Lonchura striata: one gene and its partners. The protein of the gene in region 3 binds, or shares a complex with, the protein of the main gene of each other region. Links are inferred from orthologs where the notes say so. Each region holds a gene or a part of one and is shown on either strand. Other genes may lie near its edges.

Region 1 (7,524 bases), on a different chromosome or scaffold from region 3:
AGCTTTGAAATGGAGAGTGTTCTAAGTAATAAGAAGGAATAGGTGCTACCTCCTCTTTTTACTTCAGTAAAGCTGAACAAGTTGTCTGACAGACAATCTCTGTTCAAAAAAGACACAGCATTCACCTGTGCTAATACCCAGTTTTGCACATCACAACATAAACAGTGCTTCTGTGTGAAATCTCACCTTAAGATAACAGGAAGATTACAAAGAAAGAGACAGTGTCACTGAAACCTGCATGAAACAGATTTATGCATATTAACTCCCTTCAAGGTAGAAGACTGTATGACAGACTACTTCAGTGATGGCGGCTGCAGGGTCAAAATCCAATTCCAGAATTCCCTGAATATATAGGTGTGCATCAAGCAGTAGGCAACGCTATGCCTTCAAGCCCACCTCTTTCTCTTGCATGGACTTAATTCTGGCCACAGCAACTCTTCATCTGCATTGAACTTGGTCCACATGGTGACATTCAGGTCTTACAGCAGCATTTTTGCTCCAACCTCTATAGGTCTCATTTCTCTATCAGGAAGAAACACACAAGGGCAAAATGGAAGCAGGATATATCCTATCCACAGGCCTCTATCCAGACACCACTGTGTTGAATCAATTGTTCCATACATGCCTTATATAAAGTTAGGGGTTTTACAGTCCTTTAGAGTTTTTTTATGCAAAAGTGGTTGACAACTTGGAAGGTGGCAGATAATGGTGTGTCTAACACAACAACAACAAAAACAACCTCAGAAATTTTATTTTGGGGTACACAGATAAGCATCAACAACCTAACATTCACATACTAGTTACTGCTAGTGATTTTTCCATATCAGGAAATGGGAGAGGAGGGCACAGCAGGGATAAGAAGGAAATCACAACAAAATGCTGACTGCAAGCAATCCTAATTCAACTGAAAATTTTGTTTTTTCCAGGACTTGAATTATCAACTTATCCAGCATGCTTTAGCTCTCCATGAAAAGCAAGAAGGCATCACCAAGATGTTCTGCTAGTTACATCTTTCCCCTATCCACTGCTTAGAAAAGAAAGCTTGCTGGACACCAAAAATGTTCAGATCACAAACACATATGCCCTACTCCTAACTTCCTCCTGCAGTGTGATTTATAAGAAAGTCAAAGTGTTGAGAAGTTCAAATGGATTTGGAGTCATATATAAGCCACGTGAAAATACTTACTGTAAGATAGTTAAATCAACACAATGTCCAAGCCTGGCCATGCAGTATGCTTATTTATATCTGCCAGGATTACTTAGAAAACAGTTACTCTAACTGTTCAGGTCTATGAACCTGAACTTCTGTGAAGAAAACCACAGATTCTCTATCAAGAACATATTACAATAATGTGCTGCAAGCATTCAGTATCACAGTCTTCTCACAGCCAAGACAGCATGCACTCAACAGCAATCAGGAGTGTTCACAAAGGGAAACATTTCAAGAGTTAAAGAAGCACTGGAGAAATACTCTTTTCTGAATAGGTCTAAAGTAGGTTGAAAGCCTCCTGCATCATGGTTTAGTAAGCACTACCCTGCCTTTAGACCTTATCATGCAGGTATCACTCTGCAAGCACATTGTAACCAAGTACTACAGGAAATATTTTTCTACTGCCTTTCCATTTTTGCCTACTACACTTAGGCTTGCTCATGACATGCCTAATTTAAACTGCTTGTAGAGCCCTGTGGCACACACTTTTACTCTTCAACACAAACCCGTCCTTTCATACCCAAATTGTCTGACATCTCTGACAGTCTCCTTCTACATTAGTCTTCTCCTAAATAATCACATGTGAATGCAATATTTCACTCACAGCAGTCTATCAAATACCTGTGGCAGTCTTAGTAAACTCCAGGTAAAAATCAACCTGCCTTTCAGCAGAAACCACTCTGTCTGTTACCAGATTAGATTGTTTCTTGTTCTTGCTTAACCAATACCAGCATGTCACACTCTAAATCACACAACCTTCTGTTCTCTCCACTGCAACTCAAAATTTAAGTAAGCCTGTCCCTACAGGCACAACATCACACAGTTCAAAAGAATTAACAGTAAATATCAAGCAGCTGAAGACCCAGTTTGGGAGTTAGAGTCCTGCTCCAAAAAGTTAACCATAACTTAGTGTCCCAATCAAGAGCTTTGTATGAGCAAAATAATACTCAATCCAGGTGCCAAGTGAACTTGAAGTTTCATCCCACATGCTCCAAACTGGTGAAAAACCAGTCCCTCAAGCGCACAGTCCTCTTCTAATTACTTTAATACAGTTTGTGACTGAACATATGAGACAAGTATCCTTAAAAAGATTCTTGAAAATTCTGATTTCACAAATTCAGCTCTGGAATGGAGCAGGACCTGATAAAGAGTGATTTCACAAAAATGGTGATGGACGGCAACACTGTACATACTGCAACCTGCATTACTACGGTTGCTTTGTCACTACTGAGTTGTTAAAATCTCACTGAGGTGGCATTAAGGCACACACACCACAGAAACATCGCAGAAACAATGAATCTCGGACACAACAAGCCAGCGAATGATCACAAACGCGTGAGGCGATTCAGCTGAGGCGGCAGCATTTAATGCAAACCAGGTGCCACTGAACAGCACCGCGTATCACGGCTCAAAAAAGTGACAGCCGACGCTTGAGGCTTTTCGACTGTGAGCAGGTATTCCTGCCTGCGATCCGCAGCTACGTGAAAACCAGTTAAGTTCTAAGCTACTCGGGGAGCGGGTGTGGAAACTCGAGGGCGCTGCAGGAGCCGCGGCACCGAGGGCGGGCGCGCCGGGCGGCTGCTCGCGTTACCTGGGCCGGGCGGGGCCGGCTCGGCGGGAGGGTCCGCGCGGGCCTCTCTGCGGGGCACCGACCTGACGGGCAGCGGGAAGAAGCCGCGGAGGAACAGCGCGACGCCCAAAGCCTGCACGAGGAGGCAGGAGGCGGCGAACACCCCCGAGCGCAGCCGCATCCTGCCCGGGCACCAGCGACAGCGGCCCCCACCCGGCCCGGCCGGCGCTGCGCCGGCTCTGCGGGGCGGCACCTGCGGCCGCCCCCGCCCCTCCCGCCTGGCCCCGCCTCCGGCCCGCCGCCCGCCAACCAGCGACGACCGCGCTCCTCCAGTAAGCCTCGCTATTGGCCAGCGGCCCGCAGCCGCTCCGCGAGCGCGTACGGCAACACCGAACCGGAAGTACAGCCCCTCATTCCGCCCTCACAGCTCTCCTCACGCGCCCGCCTCCGACCCGCCTCTGGACCCGCCTCCAGACCCTCCTCATCCTGCCTCCGGACCCGCCTTGAGGCCTTCCTCCAGCCTTCTCATCCCTCCTCCGGACCCGCCTCCCGGACCCTCGTCCCACCCCGATCCCCGTGTCCCACCTCCGCAATCCGCCTGCGGGGCCCGTCCCGTTGTGCGTTCGGTCGCTGCGGTCCAGCCCCCACTTGGCACTCTCGTATCCCCATCTCGCGTCCCACACCTGCGACCCAACTCCCCATGGTGCCGCCACCCCGAGTTCCCACCCCTCATCCCACCCCGAGTTCCCACCCTTCATCCCACCTCGAGTTCCAACCCCTCATCCCACCTCGAGTTCCACCTCGAGTTCCAACCCCTCATCCCACCCCGAGTTCCAATCCCTCATCCCACCCCTCATCCCACCCCGAGTTCCCACCCCTCATCCCACCTCGAGTTCCACCTCGAGTTCCAACCCCTCATCCCACCCCGAGTTCCAACCCCTCATCCCACCCCGAGTTCCAATCCCTCATCCCACCCCTCATCCCACCCCGAGTTCCAATCCCTCATCCCACCCCGAGTTCCAACCCCACACCCCACCCCGAGTTCCCCGGGGAAGGTGAACACGGCGAAAGGAGGTTTGATGGATTGCTGCAGTAAAGAGCGCTTGGCAGGTGAGGAAGGAGTCCTTGTTGGTGTTTGGCAAGAGAATCTTTCCACGCTCAAACACACTCCCTCTTAATAAAACTGAATAGTGGTGTGGCTTAATTTTTCCATTGGAATGGAGATGGACTATGGTAGGCTGATCGTGTCAGAGGATGAGGAGAAGTCTTAAAGTTTAATTTTGTGAAAAAGGAAACAGAGCAAGAACCGTGTGAGCAGGCTCCAGGCTGGTTTTCCCACTGGGTCTTTTCTCTTAGCGCAAAGCATGACCTGTTTTGTGTAAACGCAGGCCAAATGCATTGTACAGTGTTTTCCTGCTGCAGTTGGTCAATTTGTGGTTTTACTGATGGTTTCACTGGCCAGCTGTTAATTCTGAGCTTTGCATCGCCTGCCACAAGGCAAAGTTGATGTGATGCAAGGAGTGTGTGTGAGTGGATTCAGGAGCATGTGTGAGTGGGTTCAGGATAAAAGTTTTGTATTTGGCCTTTACTAGGGTCTAAAAATACAGAGAAAAAAAAGTCAAGGAGCATGAGCCCTATGGATTCATGCTCTTTATGTATAAGCATCGCTGAGCACTATGCTACCTTTAGGCTACCTGAGTGCTTTTTCTGGCCACTTTTACCACTTCATGCTTCTACTGAGAATACTAATAGCATTTTCATTTATTGAGATTATCTAAAACCGTTACTTTTAAAATAAATTTCATTTTTGCCGACACTGTCCACTTGTTTCTTTGCAGAAGCACAACTCTGAAGGCCCATGAAAGTTAGTATTCCGTAATTAACTTCAGCTGATTATGAGCAGTGCAATGAAATTCAGAAAAACGTGCAAGGAATGTTGCTTGAAACAGTAGGACAAGGCAAAAAGCACTTTTGGGCCATTGCACTTAAACTTTAAAATGGCTTTAGGTAGTATACCTTAAAGTTACATTATTTGTACATCCAAGAAAAGCTGTATTTGTTGCTTTTTAAGGGTATTTTTCCTGCTCTTTAAACCTTGAACTAGTTAGACTCTCCAACCAGAAACTAGGAAAAGTTTCCTAACGAATATAAAGCAACCTAATATAGGCAATGTTTATGCATCACAAAACACCATCTAAGAAATATCTGTCTTCTTTTTATTTCATGTGTAAAGCTTACTTTCTCTTTCAGTAAGTGGAAATTCCCCAAGCTGCATCTTTGTCCCATCGTTCAAACCTTCAAATTCCCACAGAAGATCGGAATTTCTGTGTTCAGCAAAAAGAATTTCTCTACAGACATAAAAAACAGTATCTAGCATGTGATTCACACTCCCTCGGATCTGTCACTGGGTATTTAGTGAGTACCATCACCATTTGGCAAGTTCTTGCAGCAACATGCTTTCAAGTCCATTACTGTAGCACTTAACTGCAGGGCTCAAACACAGGAAGCATCCTGAGCATTGTACAAGACTTTAAATCGGTCTGTCTGTGAGTCTACAAGTGTGTTACAATATAATATATTGACAAGCACTGCTGTGCACTGCTGTGGCCGTTTTACAAGCTCTTGGGCATAACCTCCTCTGTTGTGCATAAAACATCTATGCCCTGAGAGCCAGTGGTTTCATGAGCATTCAGAGGAAGTGTTTGTGTGCTTCCCAGCACACAATCAGTGTCCATAAATTGTGCAATCACATGCGCCAGTTTATGCCAAGGGCTACTGGCTGACTCAAATAGCCTTTGGAAGGTTAAAGGTTCATGCCAGAATGTCTGGAAAGGTGCAATATAGTGCACTTCATGTGATTCAGAAGGCTTTTGTTTCATCAGAGCCAGCAAACATTTTAGAACACAGTGCAACCCATCCCTGTGGGAGATGAATTTGCATCTTTCCCTACGGGAGAGCATGTTGTTACTGCTGCTGTTGTGAAGAGCCACTCAAGCAAATTTACATCTCTGTATGCTGAGGAAGAAGAAAGAATTTAGTACTCTATGCAAAGCACTCTCTAGAGGCATTTTCCCAAATCTGCTGAGAAATCAGACTGAAAGCCAACCAAGCCTTGTCTTCAACAGACAAATGGAGGAACCAGTAGGAACACATTTTGGTTAGTGTCTTTGCCACCAACATTTAAAGCAACCAGGTGATATTTATAGTCACTCTGGCATCCCTCAGGCCTTTCTTCACTGAAGCAACTAGTAAAAAGTAGATAAGATAAAAAATTGTTGTGTTCCATGAGGGAGGAGCACCTTCCAACAGTCTCTGTGTCCTCTGCCACCACTGCCCATTAGTCAGCACTCAGCATATCTGCTTCCCCACCTCCTTCTCTCCTGCTTCTTTCACTTCTTATGTTTCACAATTTCATTAGAAACACAGACCCTATCTTCACTTCTCCTCTAGTCTGAAAATATGCAATAAGTTTTCTCAGGTTTTGTTTTTTTTTTTTTAATTTTTCCATTCTCTTACTTATCTTTATTTTGAATAATTCCCTTGTAGTTTTGCTCTCAGGCCTGCTGTTTATAAGTTCTGGGTATCTGCAGCTCATCACCTTGCTTTTTGAACTGCATCAGTTATTCTCCCTCTCTGGGCCTAATTTAACAGGATTTCACATCTGAATATGTGTGTTTATGTGAAACCTGCACATCTCTTCTGAAACTGGCAATGTCAGATAGGTAAACATCTCATGCCAATGGTTTAAACAGGCATTTCTTTTCTATAATCAGTGATAGCTCTTAAACTTATCCCTAATACATTTAATACTGTACTGGGGACATGCAAGTGAAGCAGGAATATGGACAGTGGCAAAATTGACATATATAAGCAAAAGCAATCATTTTTACATGCAAGGGGAGTGAGGAAGAATTAATTCAAAATTAAGTGAAGCTGTAATAAAAAAATAAAATAGACTTCCCAGGGTGTTCTGACACTCCGAAAGCACTGTGATGTAGTTAGAAATTCAGAAGGACACATAGTATTTTCTCTCCTATCATTTCTCCATTCTTCAGTACATGGCAATTTGAATGTATGTCAGGTCTCTGCTGTATTTAAGACACAGTAAAACATCAGAAAAGGTTATAAAAGACTGTCTGCTGAAGTGTGACTCTCCCTTCTCCATTCTGGTGCACTACAAAGCCTCCAGAGATTTGTAGTTGCTGAGGCAAAAGGCAAAGCAGAAGCATTGCATTGTAAACCCAGCTTCTGAAATTAAGACGAAACAGGAATTGCTTCACATAGAAAGAAAAACATGTTAAGAAATAATTCAATAGGCTTATCCATATAAAATAATTGATTGTCTGTCTTTGTGCACACGTGCACGTGTGTCTGCCTCCAGATTTAGCTATTTTGGAAACGCTGCTTGCAGAGCTTATGGGATTTGAGATTGAGGCAACCAGGGATCACTGGAGAAGATAACCCCTGATAACCCCTGAGCTGGTGAGCTGTAGGGAGCCAAAGCCTGGTTTGTTTCTGGAGACTGCAGACTTGTTACTTGCCGCAGTATGAGATTACTTGCTTTTGAAGGGGAAGCAAAGCTGCAGAGCAAGAACTAATTGAAGAAAGAAGATGCTTGTTAGTTTCCCCCAGAGCCTTGCACTCAAAGCTTACACAGTTTAGTAGCAATATCCCTCTTTCTCTGCACAGTGTTGTACAGAGGTGTAACTAGTCATTCCTGCCTAAGAAAGCCCTGGCTTCAGAG
Region 2 (7,788 bases), on a different chromosome or scaffold from region 3:
GTGGAAATCCAGCTAGAGCACTGTAATCCTTGGGCAGCAGTGTGTAACAGCCCAGTGCTCCTTTGTAACAGAAAAAAATCCTCCAGCCCTACCTCAAATTTGCAGTAGGAATACCACAAGGCCCTGGTGAGAGATCTACTTACCAGTTGGATAGAGATGCTGCAGGATCCCATCATCCACAGTGTGAAGATCCTTTACGTTAAAAGAAGGGAAGAAATAGGAACGGAAGAACTTCTTTGGGAAGAGTCCTTCCCATGTATCATCACCCATGAAGACCACTCTCCTTCCTGAGCCAGAGAGAAAGGAACGAATGAGAGATGGAGCCCTCCTGAGTCATGCTGCTACCACAACAATCCAAAGAGCCTGAGCAGGCCCACATCAGGATTTGGAGCAATGGTTCTTCTCTAACCCACACCCAAAACTAAAATTTTCACTAAAAAAAAGACCATCTGTCTGCAAAATACTTTGAATACAGGGAGGGACCAGTCTACGAGTATCTGTAAGCTGTGTCATACCCCTACAACAAAGTCACTGCATAACCTCAGGACTTATTGCTGATCTGACACATCACCCCTGCAGAAAGGCTCTTGGGCCACCACAACACAGGTGGGTGCACAGGGTGCAGCATTAAGCAGACAAAGCCTCACCTGAGGCCCGTGACCCCACTGCAAAATGCAAGGCAGCAGGTGATGGAGGAGAAGATGTGAGTCCTGAGTTCTGGCGTTTAAAAACAATTTTCAGACATGGAAAAGAGAAGGCAAAAGCACTGATGCTTCCCTCTGCCCTTGCTCTCCTTGCCCTGCCTGCCATCAGCCAGCTGTATTTCCACAGAGCGTTTTCAGCCTGGAAGCAAGGAACATTTTCTCTGAGACTGCTACTCTGGCACAGGATCTCTGGTGATCACCATCTTCATTTTACTTCAGGTGATTCACTACATTTGCCCACCTTGCTCACTCAAAGTCATGTTGCCTTAGCCCATTGTGAGCCTTGGGAGGAAGTCTCTCTGGGTAACAAACCACTGTGGCCTGCCCTCTTCCCTCTACACCATTATCCCACTGTAACAAGCCCTTTACAGCAGAACTAAGCACCCCCTAGCAGCATCAAACCACAATGAAAATGCGATGAGGTTGCTGTCTCATGCCTGCAGGCAGCTGTCCAGGCAGGCTGGCTGCCTGAGGGACACCCCCACAGCACACCTGGCACCACCTGGCACACCTGGCTCCTCCCCTGTCACGTGCCTCACACAACACAACCTTGGCAATCCTACAGGGATTCCTGGGGGTGACCTTGGGACAAACACCACCAGTGTTGCCACTTTTGCCTGCTTTCTCATCATCCTTGAAGATGATGAAGTCATTGTTACAGCACTTCTCATCTCATTCCCAACCCATGTCCTGCCTGCATGACAACCCTGCCTTAAGCAATTGTCACAAAGCAGGATAAAGAATCAGCTCACAGGGTGGATCTGTTGTAAGGGGTGCACTTCCCAGGGAGAAAGTAATCAAGATTTGGAATACAGGTTAAACTGAGAAGAGTTTGCATGTGCCCTGCTCCACTGGGCTGCTGCCCTGCCCACAGAGAATCACAGAATGTTAAGAGACTGGAAGGGACCTTAAAGATCATCCACTTCCAAGCCCCATCCCATGGGTAGGATGGGATCACTAGATCCCACTAGATCAGGTTGTCCGAGGCTTTATTCAGCATGGCCTTGAACGCTGCCAGGGATGAGGCATCTACAACCTTCCTGGGGATCCTGTTTCAGTGTCTCACCACCCTCATAGTAAAGAATTTCTTCTTCATGTCTAACTTAAACTTCTCCATCAATTTTTACCCATTCCTCTTCATTCTATTGCTACAGTTCCTGACAAAGATTTAATTTCCAGCTTCTCTGTAGGTCCCCTTCAGGTACTGGAAGGCTGCTATGAGGTTGCTGTACAACCTTCTCTTCTCCAGGCTGAACAGCCCCAGACACAGAATCATCAAGGTTGAAAGAGACCTTAAAAACCATCCATCCAATCATCCACCCACCACTATAAACCCCAAACCACACCATGCAGCACAAGATCTGAGAGTCTCTTAAGCACTTCCAGGGATGGTGACTCCACCATTTCCCTGGGCAACCTATTCGTATAGCTGTGAAAAAATGGTTTTTTATATCCACTCTGAAACTCCCTCGCCTGAGCTAAAGGCCAGGAACTCACCATTCTGCACCAGCTGTGCCAGCAGGTTGTCCTCCTGGATGGCGTAGGAGGCAAAGTTGCTGCCCACGTCGATGAAGGTGGGCAGCGAGCCGGTGGTGAGGCCCTTGATGCGCTGCATGGTGGCCGTGGGGGGGTCGGCTCGGAAGCGGTAGAGCCGGGCATGGCGGGGCTGGGAGGTGGCCAGCTGGTGCAGGACACCCAGCTTGTTCTCGTAGGGCAGTGGGCTGGTCTTGGCGGGGTCAAAGTGGGCAAACTCAAAATGGAGAGCGTCAATGATGATGAGCACGGCCTTGGAAAAGCGTTGGGGAACCCAGCAGGAGCCTGGTGGGAGGCTCTGCCTCTCCCAGAGTGGAGGCACGACCGGGTCTGAGCAGGAACTGCTGCTGGCAAGCTCGATCCGGGTGAGCAGGAAGCCGCTCATGAAGAGCCCGATACCGGCAAAAAAGAGAAGGCAAACCCAGGCCAGGAAAAGCACCACTGGCCACCGCTGCATCCTAGAGGGAAGGACAGGCAGGTTCAGCCCCAGCGGCTCTACCTGGGCAGACACCACTCCCTCCGTACCGACACCCATCCCTGGCCCAGCACCTCCCACACCCACCCAGCCCGCCTTGACTTCCCTTGGTCCCACTCCGTGTCCGGCAACTGCCCCACGCACTTCCTTGTATCCCCTCCCGGACGGAGCTGAATCCTGCTCCCTCCCGACTGCCCAGCGCTGCCCGGCACCCCCAGCCCCCTCCCGACACCCGCATTCCCATTCACACACGCCCAGCCCCCACCCACGCCGCTGTGTCCCCCACGCCCCAGCCCCTCACAGCGCCTTTCTGATCCCCGGCCCACCTGACCCCGGCCCACCTGCGGCGCCCGGCGCTCCCGGAAGCGCCGCGCGTGGCGCCGACCGCGCTGGAGCGGCACGGCGGGGAGCGGCCTGCGGCGGCAGCGCCTCCTGGCGCCCAGGAGGTCTCAGCGCGCCTCCCGCCACGCCAGGTGCGCTCGCAACGGCGAAAGTGTGGTTTTAATTAATCAAATAATTAATTAATCGACAGAAGCACTCCCGGCCCTGTGCTGGGCGATGTGAGGAGCTCGCTGTAGAGAACACAGTCATACACTGTAGGGGCAGCTTCTGGGAGCAGACAGAGGACAGGATGATGAGAGTAGCTGACACTCCCAGAGAGGCGATGCACTGGGAGAGGTATCCTTCGTAAGAGTGGGGTTTCCAAATTCACAAATCATAAAACAGCTTGGGTTGGAAAGGTACCTTGAAGATCATCTAGTTCCAACCCCCCTGCTGTGAGCAGGGACACCTTCAACTTGATCAGGTTGCTCAGAGCCTCATCCACAACTTCCCAGAACAACCTGTGCCAGCACCTCACCATGCTCACAGATTTTTTTCTTAACATCGTTTTTCACTCTTATATGTCACTGCATATCCATGGGAAATCCCAGCAGAAGCCTGCTGAGGAGGGATGATCCCCCTTTGGCATTGAATGCTAGGGTCAGGCACCCAAGCATGAGGGAACATGCTGCAGCAGTACTGTTACCATTTATTACATGATTTAAATCCAATACAAAATAGGGACTAAGGGAACAAGATTGACTGCCTCCAGCAGAGCAGGACTGCTGGCAGGCCTCAGGAGAGGGTATGAGATCCTTCCAGCCCTGTTAGCTGGAGCTGCCCTGTTCTGCCTTCAGCACCTCTGTGGCAGGAGAGTGGGAGTTCTCCTGGGCTGGGGGCATCTCATCTTGGGTCTTCACAGCTTGTGGCTTGGTCAGTGTAGTGTAGATCCCCAGGGCCTGGAGGGAATGAGACAGTCATAGGGAGGGAAGGAGAGGAGAGGGCCAGGCCCCACCCTGATGGCCTCTTCACCTCCCTGGAACAATCCTCACTTGGGTGAGAGCAAGAACAGCTTGGGTTGGAAGGGATCTCAAAGATCTTTTTCATGCCCCTCCACACCCCGCACTGGAGCAGGTTGCTCAGAGCCCCATCCCACCTGACCACAAACACTTCCCAGGATGGGGCACCCACAGCTTCTCTGAGCAACCCCCTCAGCCTTTCCTCACAGCCAGCCAAGGTGCTCCCTCCCTCTGATGATCTTGGTGGCCTCCTCTGGGCTGACTCCATTGGGTCCCTGTCCCTCCCGTGCTGGGAGCCCAGGGCTGGATGCAGTGCTCCAGGTGGGTCTCAGCAGAGCAGAGGGGCAGAATCCCCTCCTTCCCCTGCTGCCCACGGGGCTCTGGACGCAGCCCAGGACACATGGGCTACACTGACCTGTGCAACCATGTTGGTGACATCGCCGGTGTTGGCAGGCAGCAGAACAGTGTTGGAGTCTTTGGCAATCTTGGAGAAAGCGTTCACATACTGCTCTGCCACAGACAGGGAGGCAGCAGCATTGCCGTGCTGGGGACAGAGGGACAAGTCACGTACCACCAACAGCTCATCCCTGCCTGTATCCCCAGCCCACCCCAGTCCAGCAAAGATCCTCACTCCCTGCTGCTTCCGAAGGTGCCAGGGAGTGTCCAGGAGAAAACCAGATGCCACCCTACCTGCAGTTTCACCTCCCCCAGTGCCAGCACCAAAGCAGTGGCTGCTCCAGGTAGCCATCACTCACCTGCTGTGCCAGAGCAGCGGCCAGGAGCTGAATTGCCTCTGCCTTGGCCCTGGCCTTGACCAGCATGGCATTTGCTTCCCCTGCAAAGAACCACAGCAAGGTGCACATCAGAATCACGACAAAGCACTCACAAGGACTGAATCCCAACCATCTCAGGGAGTGAATCAAGACAATTTCAATCCACGCATGGTTGGATTTTCCCCAAGAGCAACACTATTGCAAGCCTCCTGCTTACAGGAGGTTGGGGCAGGACAGCAACATCAACTGGAGCTTAGCCTGAGGCCCCAGGAGGGAAGAATCAGTGGCTGAGGAAGCCTGGCTCACAGCGATGCAGTCTCCCCCACAGCACCACCCCTCAGTCCAGAGGACTACAGAAACCCACATTTTATCCCCAGGCACTACCAGCAGCTTTGTTGATCTGTTCAGCCTTCTCAGCTTCTGATGCCAAGATCTGGGCCTGCTTCTGGCCTTCAGCCACATTGATAGCTGACTCCCTCGTCCCCTCTGACTCCAGCACAGTTGCCCGTTTCCGTCGTTCTGCCTCCACCTGCAAACACAGGTCAGACACCAGCCTGCCATGGGCGTGATGAGGAAATACCATCTTTGGGGCATTCATGCTCCTCTGTTCTGCTGGGGGAAGCATGGCTTAGCAAAGCATGAAAATACAGCTACAGAACACTGTGTGGTCTTGGCAAGGGCTAGTTCTGCTCCTCATGCCACACAGCCCTTCCAGCCCCATTCCCACCTAAGTGGACAGTTCCTTCCCTCTCCTCCTATTCCAGCCCAAATATCTGGTGTCTAGCTTTTCCCAAGGTGTCCAGTTTTTCTCAAATCTCAGCTCTGAGATTTGCTTCTCCACAGATTGGATTTTAAAGGGACTTGGCAGGGCTTGTATGTAGCAGGCAGGGGCCAATACCACAAAAATTATGACAGGAGTTACTGGTTCAGTAGCTATATGTCTGCAGCCAAAGTGCCCTTCTGAACAAGGGGTGGCTGCTGCCAGCTATGGACAGGTAACAATAATGAACCACAGCCCTTATCAACAATAGTGTGGCCAGCAGGACCAGGGAAGTGATTTATCCCCTTGTACTCAGCACTGGGGAGCCATGCTTTGAGTCCTGTGTCCAGTTCTCGGCACCTCAAGAGGGACATTGAGATGCTAGAGTGTCCAAAAAGAGCAATGGAGCTGGGGAAGATTTAGAGCACAAGTCTGATGAGAAGTCCTTGAGAGAGCTGGGGTTGTTTAGTCTGGACAAGAGGAGACAAGGTCTTGAGAACAGACCTGATCACTCTCTGCAACTATCTGGAAGGAGGTTGCAGTCACACAGGGGTTGGCCTCTTCTCCCAGGTAGTCAGCAACAGGATGAGAGGACACAGTCTCAAGCAACACCAGGGGAGGTTTAGGTTGGACATTAGGAAGAATTTCTTCACAGAAAGGGTGATTAGACATTGGAATGGGCTACCAGACAGGTGTCAGTGACACTGTTTGTGGAGATCTTTAAGCAAAGATTGGACTTGGTGCCGTGGTCTGGTAGACAAGGTAGTGTTTGTTCATAGGCTGGGCTTGATGAAGTCTTTTCCAATCTTATTGATTCTGTGATTCTATAATGCAGTATGGAAGAGGAAGCTTCCCTCTTGTTCCAGAACCCCCTCCCAGAGAGCCTCACCTGCATCTGCATGGATTCCTTCACACGTGGGGGCACGTGGATGTCCTTGATCTCGTAGCGCAGACACCGGATGCCCCAGCAGTCTGAAGCCTGGTTGATGGCATCCACAATGCTGGCATTGAGGGACTCCCGCTCCTGGGAGGCACAGAAGAAATGGCAGAGAGCAGAGAAGAAGGGTTTAGCATGAGAGAGGTGTCAGGAGGGAAACAGACACCTCCCTTACAGGCTAAGGTCTGCCAGAAAAAATCACCTCCACAGGTTTCGGGCAGGGTTAGGTGCTTCCTGCAGCTGCTGAAGGGGTCACCAACTCCTAGGGAGAGCAGTGCCTCACACTGAAGCTGCTGGGATACAACATCTGAATACTAGAGAATGCCAGCAACTCCAGTTTCTTCCCAGCAAATGCAGTACAAGGATTACAGCACCCCATGACACAGGTCAAGGATATTCATCACTGGGGCTGAGCAAAGAGTCACTGACTCAAAAAAGGTGGCTAGAACCAGCTGGGTCTGGGCACATACCACCCATCATCCCCTCCAAATAACCCAGGGCAGGGCAAAAAATAGCTCCCGTTGAAAAAATCAACTGAAAGAAGACCCATCTCCAAGGATTCACCAATAGGTCAACTGAAACAGAAGCCATAAGCCCTCTATGCAAAAGGGCATTTTGCTGTTAGGCATAGCAGCCTGGCCATGCAGGCTGTCCTGGGATTTTGGGAGACACTGTCAGCTCTGTGATCCACCTCCCCAGCTCACCCGGAAGACTCTGTCAAGGGAAAGTTTGCCAAGTTCAGATCTCATGGTAGTCTGGGCCAGCTGGGTCACTGCGTACTCAGGATCTTCCACCCCGTAGCTGGCCTGAAGAGCAGAAGCACAAAACAGAGTGGATAGGGATGCCAAGAGGGACCCTGAACAAGGCAGGAGAGACAAACAGCACTGCAGCAAGAAATCTGCCAGACATCCCTGCTGAAAACATGGAGTCTGGAGCCTTGGGATGAGTCAGAGTGCCCAGCCCACCCGCCAGGCAGGACACAGAGGCTGGAGTACACATTTTGGGGAGCAGGGAGTGGGCAGAGCCAGAAAAAACGTGCCCAAGGGACAGGGATGGTACCTTGTAGGGGTCCATAACCCGCAAGTAGAGCACACCATCGATCTGCAGGGTGACGTTATCTGTCAGGAGAGAACAGCAGAGCCTGTTTAGTGAACCAGCACAAACAAAACACAGAAACCCCCTCTTCCACAGCACAGCTGGGCAGGCTCATCCTTTTTCACTGTGACATATCAGCATGATGCAGAAGAGGATTGGCTGAAATAGATC
Region 3 (7,703 bases):
AAATACCCGTATCCATGCCTGTATGTTTGGTCCCAGCAAACACAAGCATTGTAAAGTAGTGTATGTAGACAGAAGAACTGCAAACAAAAATGTCTCAGTCACTAACCTACAAAAAGAAAAAGAATATTACAAAATTAAGTGAGGTGGTTTTTCTAAAAGTTCCAAGATTTAGGAAGAACAAAGTCCCTCTCATTCAACTTGTGAAAGCATGTTCGCTTTCTTAAACTTCATATAAAGGAATAAAATATTTTTTTCTTACTCTGTAGAATAGTAAAGGAAGCTTGAAAGAGTTCTGCTGTTATCTCAAGAGTGAGATGTAGTAATTTTTTGAAATGGCTGAGACCTGTAATATTTTTAAAAAACCACAGGTGTACTTCACATAGATCATTAGTTCTAAACTGAAGTATTCTTGGATATTTACCAATTTAATGATTCCATTTTTCCAGTTGTAACAGCAACCATGAAACCAAACTACATTAAACTACTGTTAGTCAACAACTTAGTATATCTTTCAAAACCCAGGTTGCTTCACACTTCTTTCATTAAACTTTCAAAAAAGTTAAAACACTAACATCAAAAGGATGAAAGACAAGCCATGTGGTTTAGAATCATATAGGGAAAATGACTAAATAAAGCTACAAAAAATATTTGTGCCCATATGTCGAACATAAAAATTAAAGAAGCTGTTTGTAACTGTATTACAGTTTTTATTTATAGAAGTCTCATTTAAAAGCTGGCTTCCAAACAAAACAACTGAACAAGCAAAAAAAACCCAAAAAAAACCCCCAAAAAAACCAACCACCAACCCAAAACCAAGAGAAAGCTGAAACAGCCACCTTTCTTCCCCCAGCTAGGAGCTTATCCCTTAACTTCTAGTGTACGAGAAAATACACAAGTATTTATACCAACATCTGCAGGGAGAGCTGCCCCTTAGAATATTTAGAGAAAGAGAGGGTCTTTTGACTTACTCTATGAGAGGTGCTCCATAAAGAACAATAATCGCATGAAATAGTATGCAAGACATGAAAAAGTATATACAGCATTTTAGAAATCTGGATATCTAAAAAAGAGCAATGAAATATCAGAATAATGCTTCAAAACAGAACATAAGTAACACACACCCTCTAAATCTTTATCAAGTGCATTGTATTCTGATTAGTACTTTAATTTCAGCTGAAGCACAATATAATAGCATGGCATATTTCAAAACAGTTTTCCATATATTAGTACTTGAAATAATTAATTTAAAATCATCACAATCCACCTACAATTTTTTTTTTCACGCATCCCATTAAAACAGGGAAAACATACAAAAAATATAACCAGAAATTACAAGATAAGCAGAAGTAATTTTATTGGACATTTTTACACTTCTGTTTTACATCTGTCATATCCATTCATTAAAAAGCAACTCTCACAAAAAGTGAAAAAAATTTAAAAGCAAGAAAACATACAATATATTAAAAGTCTGCTAAACAAAGATTCAAAATTACATTAACTAAAACTACATTTTGAACTTGGCATCTTAAATTCTGAATATATTTGAGAAATATCCATAACTTTCTGTAAGTTATATATATACACTTTTCTATGAACTTAACAGTTTCTGGGTACTCACTGTATCACGTAGAGGCAAAAACACTTTATACACAGTTCTGGTGAGGTCTGTTTTGATCAGGTCTGTTCTGAATCTGTAACTTCCCTTATTTTTCTATATTTACTCCTACCTATTTTTTCTTCCTAGGATAAAATCTCACCTAGAACATGATGTGTGCTTCATTTTTAAATTATGGATGGTTAAAATACTTGCTTTCCATCATGGTTTTGTGCATTTCATATCCTCCTCAGTCAGCAAAACTATACACAAGCTTTGCACACAAAGAGATGCTGGCAGGGAAGATCACTTAAACATTTAAGAACCACCTCAGAGCACTACATCTTGCCTGGCTCAGCATGTCAGGAGTGAGACTATCCCCACCCGATTTCAAAACCCTGGGGTATTCCTCCACTGCTGGGCAAGTCGTGTGCTGCTCCAAAACCACTCTGTTCCAAAGTATTTCATTGGGATTCACACCTTTAACACTCCCCGTTGCAAACTAACTACAAAAAGCTTCTCCCAAATTAAGATCTGTATGCAAATTTCATCATACGAGGAAATGCAGGCATTTTAATACCTTTCCATGTAATTTTTTTTTCAGTTGTTGAAATGTAGCATAGTATCTCTTTTATGTGTCAGATTCTGAATTTATTTTTTTTCCTCTTAAAGTTATTACAAACTTACAACTCCACATGAGGAACGTGTGATGACATTTCTTCCTGGTATATCCACTTACCAAGAAGATGAGTCAGGCCTGGACTACAAAATTAGTTCTGTGCCATTTAATTTTGCCAGGTTTTGCCACCACGCAAATTCCTGGGACAATAAACAATATTGCATTGGCAAGAATCAGGAAAGCATAGACTCACTCATCTGAACAGGTTACTTACAGGTAGGGAAAGTTTAACATCATGAAAATACTGAAAAATTTGTTTCAAGAGATGCTACACTCAACTCACTGATAGAAAATGAGAATTCACCATCAAAAATCGGTTGGTTTTTTTTCATTTGATTATTTTAAATGAGATAGAGAATTTGCTTCCCCTCTGGATTGACTGGCAACAACGTAAGAATTTTTTTTAAAAGTCTTACCTTGTGAGCAAAGGAACGTCTCTTAGGAGACTGGTTTGGTTTAAGGACTAAGTGCAAGATTATATCGAGGGCAGCAACACAGACAGAACAAACACACAGCCAGGTGAGGTGCGTTCCCAGGACGCTGAATCCGTCCAGGAGGAAAGCCGGGGCCAGGGCGGCCAGGACGACGGCCAGAGCGCGGAGCAGGTTGGCAGCCAGCAGCCGCCCGACCTCCGCCCCGCTCATGGCGCCGGGCAGCGCCGCAGCATCGCCCCGGCCCGGGACGGAGCTCCGGGCCCGGCGGCGGGAGAAGGGGAGGGTGCTGGGGCAGGAAGCAGCGCCCGTTCGAAAAGCCAAACCCCGCCCGGCAGCGGAAGGCGGCGGGGCCCGGCCGGCGGCACCTCCGGGGCGGTGCCGGAAGCGGCGGCGGAGGGGCGCCATGGTGTGCGACAAGTGTGAGTACGGGGCGGAGGGGATCCAGGGCTGCCCGACCGCCTGGGCCTGCCCGAGGGCATCCAGGGCTGCCCTGAGCGGATCCAGGGCTGCCCTGAGCGGATCCAGGGCTGCCCTGAGCGGAGCGGCAGCCGCGGGTCCCGGGCTGCTCAGGGCAGGCCGCGGGGGGCGGTCCCGGCAGGGCCCTGTGTGAGCTGTGGTTCTCCCCTATGTGAGCTGTCCTTCTCCTCTGTGTGAGCTGTGGTTCTCCCCTGTGTGAGCTGTCCTTCTCCCCTGTGTGAGCTGTCCTTCTCGCCTGTGTGAGCTGTCCTTCTCGCCTGTGTGAGCTGTCCTTCTCGCCTGTGTGAGCAGTCCTTCTCCCCTGTGTGAGCTGTCCTTCTCCCCTGTGTGAGCAGTCCTTCTCCCCTGTGTGAGCTGTCCTTCTCCCCTGTGTGAGCTGTCCTTCTCGCCTGTGTGAGCTGTCCTTCTCCCCTGTGTGAGCAGTCCTTCTCCCCTGTGTGAGCTGTGGTTCTCCCCTGTGTGAGCTGTCCTTCTCCCCTGTGTGAGCTGTGGTTCTCCCCTATGTGAGCTGTGGTTCTCCCCTGTGTGAGCTGTCCTTCTCCCCTGTGTGAGCTGTCCTTCTCCCCTGTGTGAGCTGTGGTTCTCCCCTGTTGAGCAGTCCTTCTCCCCTGTGTGAGCTGTCCTTCTCCCCTGTGTGAGCTGTCCTTCTCCTCTGTGTGAGCTGTCCTTCTCCCCTGTGTGAGCAGTCCTTCTCCCCTGTGTGAGCAGTCCTTCTCCCCTGTGTGAGCTGTCCTTCTCCTCTGTGTGAGCTGTCCTTCTCCTCTGTGTGAGCTGTCCTTCTCCCCTGTGTGAGCTGTCCTTCTCCCCTGTGTGAGCTGTCCTTCTCCTCTGTGTGAGCTGTCCTTCTCCCCTGTGTGAGCAGTCCTTCTCCCCTGTGTGAGCTGTGGTTCTCCCCTGTTGAGCAGTCCTTCTCCCCTGTGTGAGCAGTCCTTCTCCCCTGTGTGAGCAGTCCTTCTCCCCTGTGTGAGCTGTCCTTCTCCCCTGTGTGAGCTGTCCTTCTCCTCTGTGTGAGCAGTCCTTCTCCCCTGTGTGAGCTGTCCTTCTCCCCTGTGTGAGCTGTGGTTCTCCCCTGTGTGAGCTGTGGTTCTCCCCTGTGTGAGCTGTCCTTCTCCTCTGTGTGAGCTGTCCTTCTCCGCCTGTGGCACATATCGATGTGCATCGTTTAAATTATTCTGTCCTGTATCATCACTAGCGTGAGCAGCAAGGCCAGGGAAGGGATTGTCCCACTGTGCTCGGCACTGGTGAAGCCGCACCTCAGGTGCTCTGTTCAGCTCTGGGCACCTCGCTACAAAAAGACATTGAGGTGGCAAAGCAAGGCCACAGAAGGGCAGCAGTGCTGGTGAAGGGTCTGGAACAGAAGATGTGATGAGGAGCAGCCGAGGTTGTAGGGGTTTTTTAGTCTGAAAAGAAGGAGACTCAGGGATGGCCTCATCACCCTCCTCAAGTCCCTGAAAGGAGGTTGTAGGCAGGTGGGGACGGGCCTCTTCTGCCAGGCTACCAGTGACAGGACAAGAGGACTCAGTCTTAAACTGGACCAGGGCGCGTTTAGGTTGGACATTCAGAATTCTTTCCTAGTCATGGAGACTTGGAATGGGCTGCCCAGGAAGGTGGTGGAGTCACCATCCCTGAAGGTGCTTAAAGAAAGACTGGATGTGGCACTCGGTGCCAAGGTCGAGGTACATGCTGGTAATTGGTCACAGGTTGGACTTGACAAATTCAGAGGGCTTTTCCAACGTAATTGACTCCGTGATTCTTAGCTTTTTCCTTTGTAATGTTTCCTTATGTAGGTGAGAAGAAGCTTGGAACAGTGATCACTCCTGATACATGGAAAGATGGTGCAAGAAACACTACAGGTAACCTCAGCAAGGTTTAGCAGCTTGGTTTTGAGGTATTATAAAGCCAGCTGTGCACCTGAGCTATGTTAACATCTTAAGACCAAAACTTTATATTACTAATCATGTTAAATATTAAGTCATGTACTTTCCCTCCCATGCTGATTTAATGCATTGGGAATTTATTTGTCCAGAACTCTTTGGTATTGAATTGGTCTGGTTTTGTTTTCTGGAGTTTTTTTCTTTCTTGCATGGGAGGACAATACATAGAGTATTTAAACAGAGCATAAAGTGTTCTGTTACCCTGTCTCCAATGCTGTGCTGAATATTTAATCTCTCTTCGTGACTTTATTTGCATATGTGTAAAAGTTGTAAATGAGGATTTTTAAAGTATGCTTGGAATGTTGGAATGGGGTTATTGATTTTTTTTTTTTTTTTAGAAAGCGGTGGTCGCAAATTAAATGAAAACAAGGCATTGACCTCAAAGAAGGCAAGGTTAGTCCTTAATACTGATTTTGGCCAAGAACATCATTTAGCAAACTAACTGAGACCTGTTTCCTACATAGCTGGGCAGCTACTCCAAACTTGTCCAAATACACTTAATAAATTAAAATTGCAGACTTAAGGTATTTGATTTGTCGGTAAAAATATGTCCATACATATTTCATGGGTGCTTTCTGCTCAGTCATGGAGTATTTTGCTGCAGTTCTCACTGGAATTGCTAGGATTTGATGCTTTTGTAGGAGAGAAGCTGAGAATACTTATTTTCTGTGCTAATATTGCCAGGATAATCTCTTGAGCATTTCCTGCATGTCTGCAGGACTTTCTGTTTGCAAGGGGGCAAGATGCTGCTGGGAGGTGTTTAACTTCAAAGTCATTTAGTATCTTAATAAAAATAAATATTTTTTGTTCTGCTTTCATGAAGTTGTCTGTGGTGGAAGAAATGTCTCTCAATAGGGAAAGTGGGAGCTTTTCTGCATACTTTGTGTAGCCTGTTAGAAATAATTCTTGCATGTCTCTTTTCTAAATTACAGTTTTTGCTGGAGTTTCTGACTGCACCCTCTGGCTTAGACTTTTAAAATGAGGCAGAAAAAATACTTCGTTTCAAGGAGTATAAATAAAGTACTTTTCCTTTTTCCCAGGTTTGATCCTTATGGAAAGAATAAATTTGCAATATGTCGGATTTGTAAGAGTTCTGTCCATCAGCCAGGGTCCCACTATTGTCAAGGATGTGCCTATAAAAAAGGTGAGCTTCATTGAGTGCCAAAATACTCCACTTTGGCTTGGTCAAGAGAGGAGGTACAACACTTAAATTTGTATTTGTGAAGAGAAGGTTAAGATGAGATTTAATTGCTATCTTCAGCTACTGATAGGCAGGCACAGGGAACATGGAGTCAGACTCTTAGGTACACAGAAATAGAATAAGAAATAATGTACACAGGTTAGAATGTGGAAAATTCTAATTTCATGCAAGGAAAGCAATTTTTCAGTCTGGGGGTGATCAAATACTCTAGTAGCAGGTACCATCAGTGGTTGTGAAATCTTTAAATCTGGTATTCAGAGAATGGCTTGAACAGTCCTGAGCCAGCCTTATCCAAGTTGGCTGTTTTAAGTGGGGCAGGACTAGAGACTGAAGGAGATTATTTTAAACCCTTGTCATTCTGTAATTCTGCTTATTTTATAATGTTTCCAGTGTCTGAAATAGTACATTTGGAAACTTAATCTAGGCAATTGCATAGAGAACTCTCATCTAACAAGTTCTAAAACTCAATTGCTTGTTGCAGTCCCTTTTCTCATCCCTTCTCTCCTCTTCCCTTTTTATAATAGCTAAATCTAAAATTCCTAGATGGAAAAAAGCTTATCATAAAGTCAGTTACGTGATTTGATGCCAAAGAATTTTATTATAGCACATGAGGTGAACTGTTTTTTGAGTGTAGACCTACAGCTCACCAATAGTAAGTTTTGTTTATGAAATTAAATGTTCAATAAATATGTGCTGTGTCACTGAGTCAGTGGTTTAGCAGCCTGCTGTAGGAATGTTGCCTGCTAGGTCCTTCCCAGACTGAACCCCATTCAGTAGAACCTTGTACTCTCTCTTAAATTTATGTCTGGTTTGGGTGGACTTCAGGATTTGATCTTTGTGTATCTTTTCAGGTTAAACCTGTTATCTTCATAAAATTAAGAACTTTCTAAGTGCTTTAGGTTCTAGCTCTGACCATCAAAGATGTCATTAGGGCATCCTTCTTGAAGCAAATGCATTCATACAGCTCAGTGCTTCAGCTTTTGCATATTTCTGAAATTGAGAAGCAATCTCAAGTTAATTAATCCTTAGTTTAGACCTGAAGTCAATATTTAGTGGGCTGAATTTTGGTCTCCAGAGTAAATCGTGTGCCGTGTTCCCTGCTGTTCTCTTCCCTAATGGACTGCTAGATATGATAGTCATGATGTCAGTATATGAAAGCACACAATTTGGAGAAAGCAGGAGTAGATGCCACTTGACATTTTTTGTCTGCAGCTGAATGTTTGTGTAAATTGAGGTGTGGTCCTACCAGATAAAAGATTTAGCACCTTTCTGCTGTGATAGGAGAGGGAAAGATTGAGACAATCCACCCCTCTGCCAAACTTGTATATATTCTGGTGCTCTGGTCTTTTGACTTGACACTCTTAGAGTTTAGGACATCAGTGTT

Evidence for each region.
Region 1: PIGF (region 3) and PIGG share a complex: the UniProt entries of both Homo sapiens proteins name them as parts of the ethanolamine phosphate transferase 2 complex. The link is inferred for Lonchura striata from reciprocal best matches to the Homo sapiens genes PIGF and PIGG.
Region 2: PIGF (region 3) and PIGO share a complex: the UniProt entries of both Homo sapiens proteins name them as parts of the ethanolamine phosphate transferase 3 complex. The link is inferred for Lonchura striata from reciprocal best matches to the Homo sapiens genes PIGF and PIGO.

What each region holds. Positions count from the first base shown.
Region 1 is NC_134642.1:4,203,565-4,211,088, forward strand, and holds the start of PIGG (GPI ethanolamine phosphate transferase 2, catalytic subunit), read right to left. Parts: upstream 3,010-7,524; 5' UTR 2,962-3,009; coding exon 2,802-2,961; intron 1-2,801.
Region 2 is NC_134642.1:40,254,174-40,261,961, reverse strand, and holds the start of PIGO (GPI ethanolamine phosphate transferase 3, catalytic subunit), read right to left. Parts: upstream 3,103-7,788; 5' UTR 3,054-3,102; intron 2,696-3,053; 5' UTR 2,695-2,695; coding exon 2,202-2,694; intron 288-2,201; coding exon 144-287; intron 1-143. Other genes in the region: STOML2 (stomatin-like protein 2, mitochondrial), read right to left, coding at 3,861-3,992, 4,468-4,596, 4,808-4,887, 5,210-5,354, 6,475-6,609, 7,227-7,328, 7,582-7,640.
Region 3 is NC_134605.1:16,915,696-16,923,398, forward strand, and holds the start of PIGF (GPI ethanolamine phosphate transferase, stabilizing subunit), read right to left. Parts: upstream 3,028-7,703; 5' UTR 2,918-3,027; coding exon 2,690-2,917; intron 1,061-2,689; coding exon 969-1,060; intron 107-968; coding exon 1-106. Other genes in the region: CRIPT (cysteine-rich PDZ-binding protein), read left to right, coding at 3,111-3,126, 4,972-5,037, 5,457-5,511, 6,159-6,262.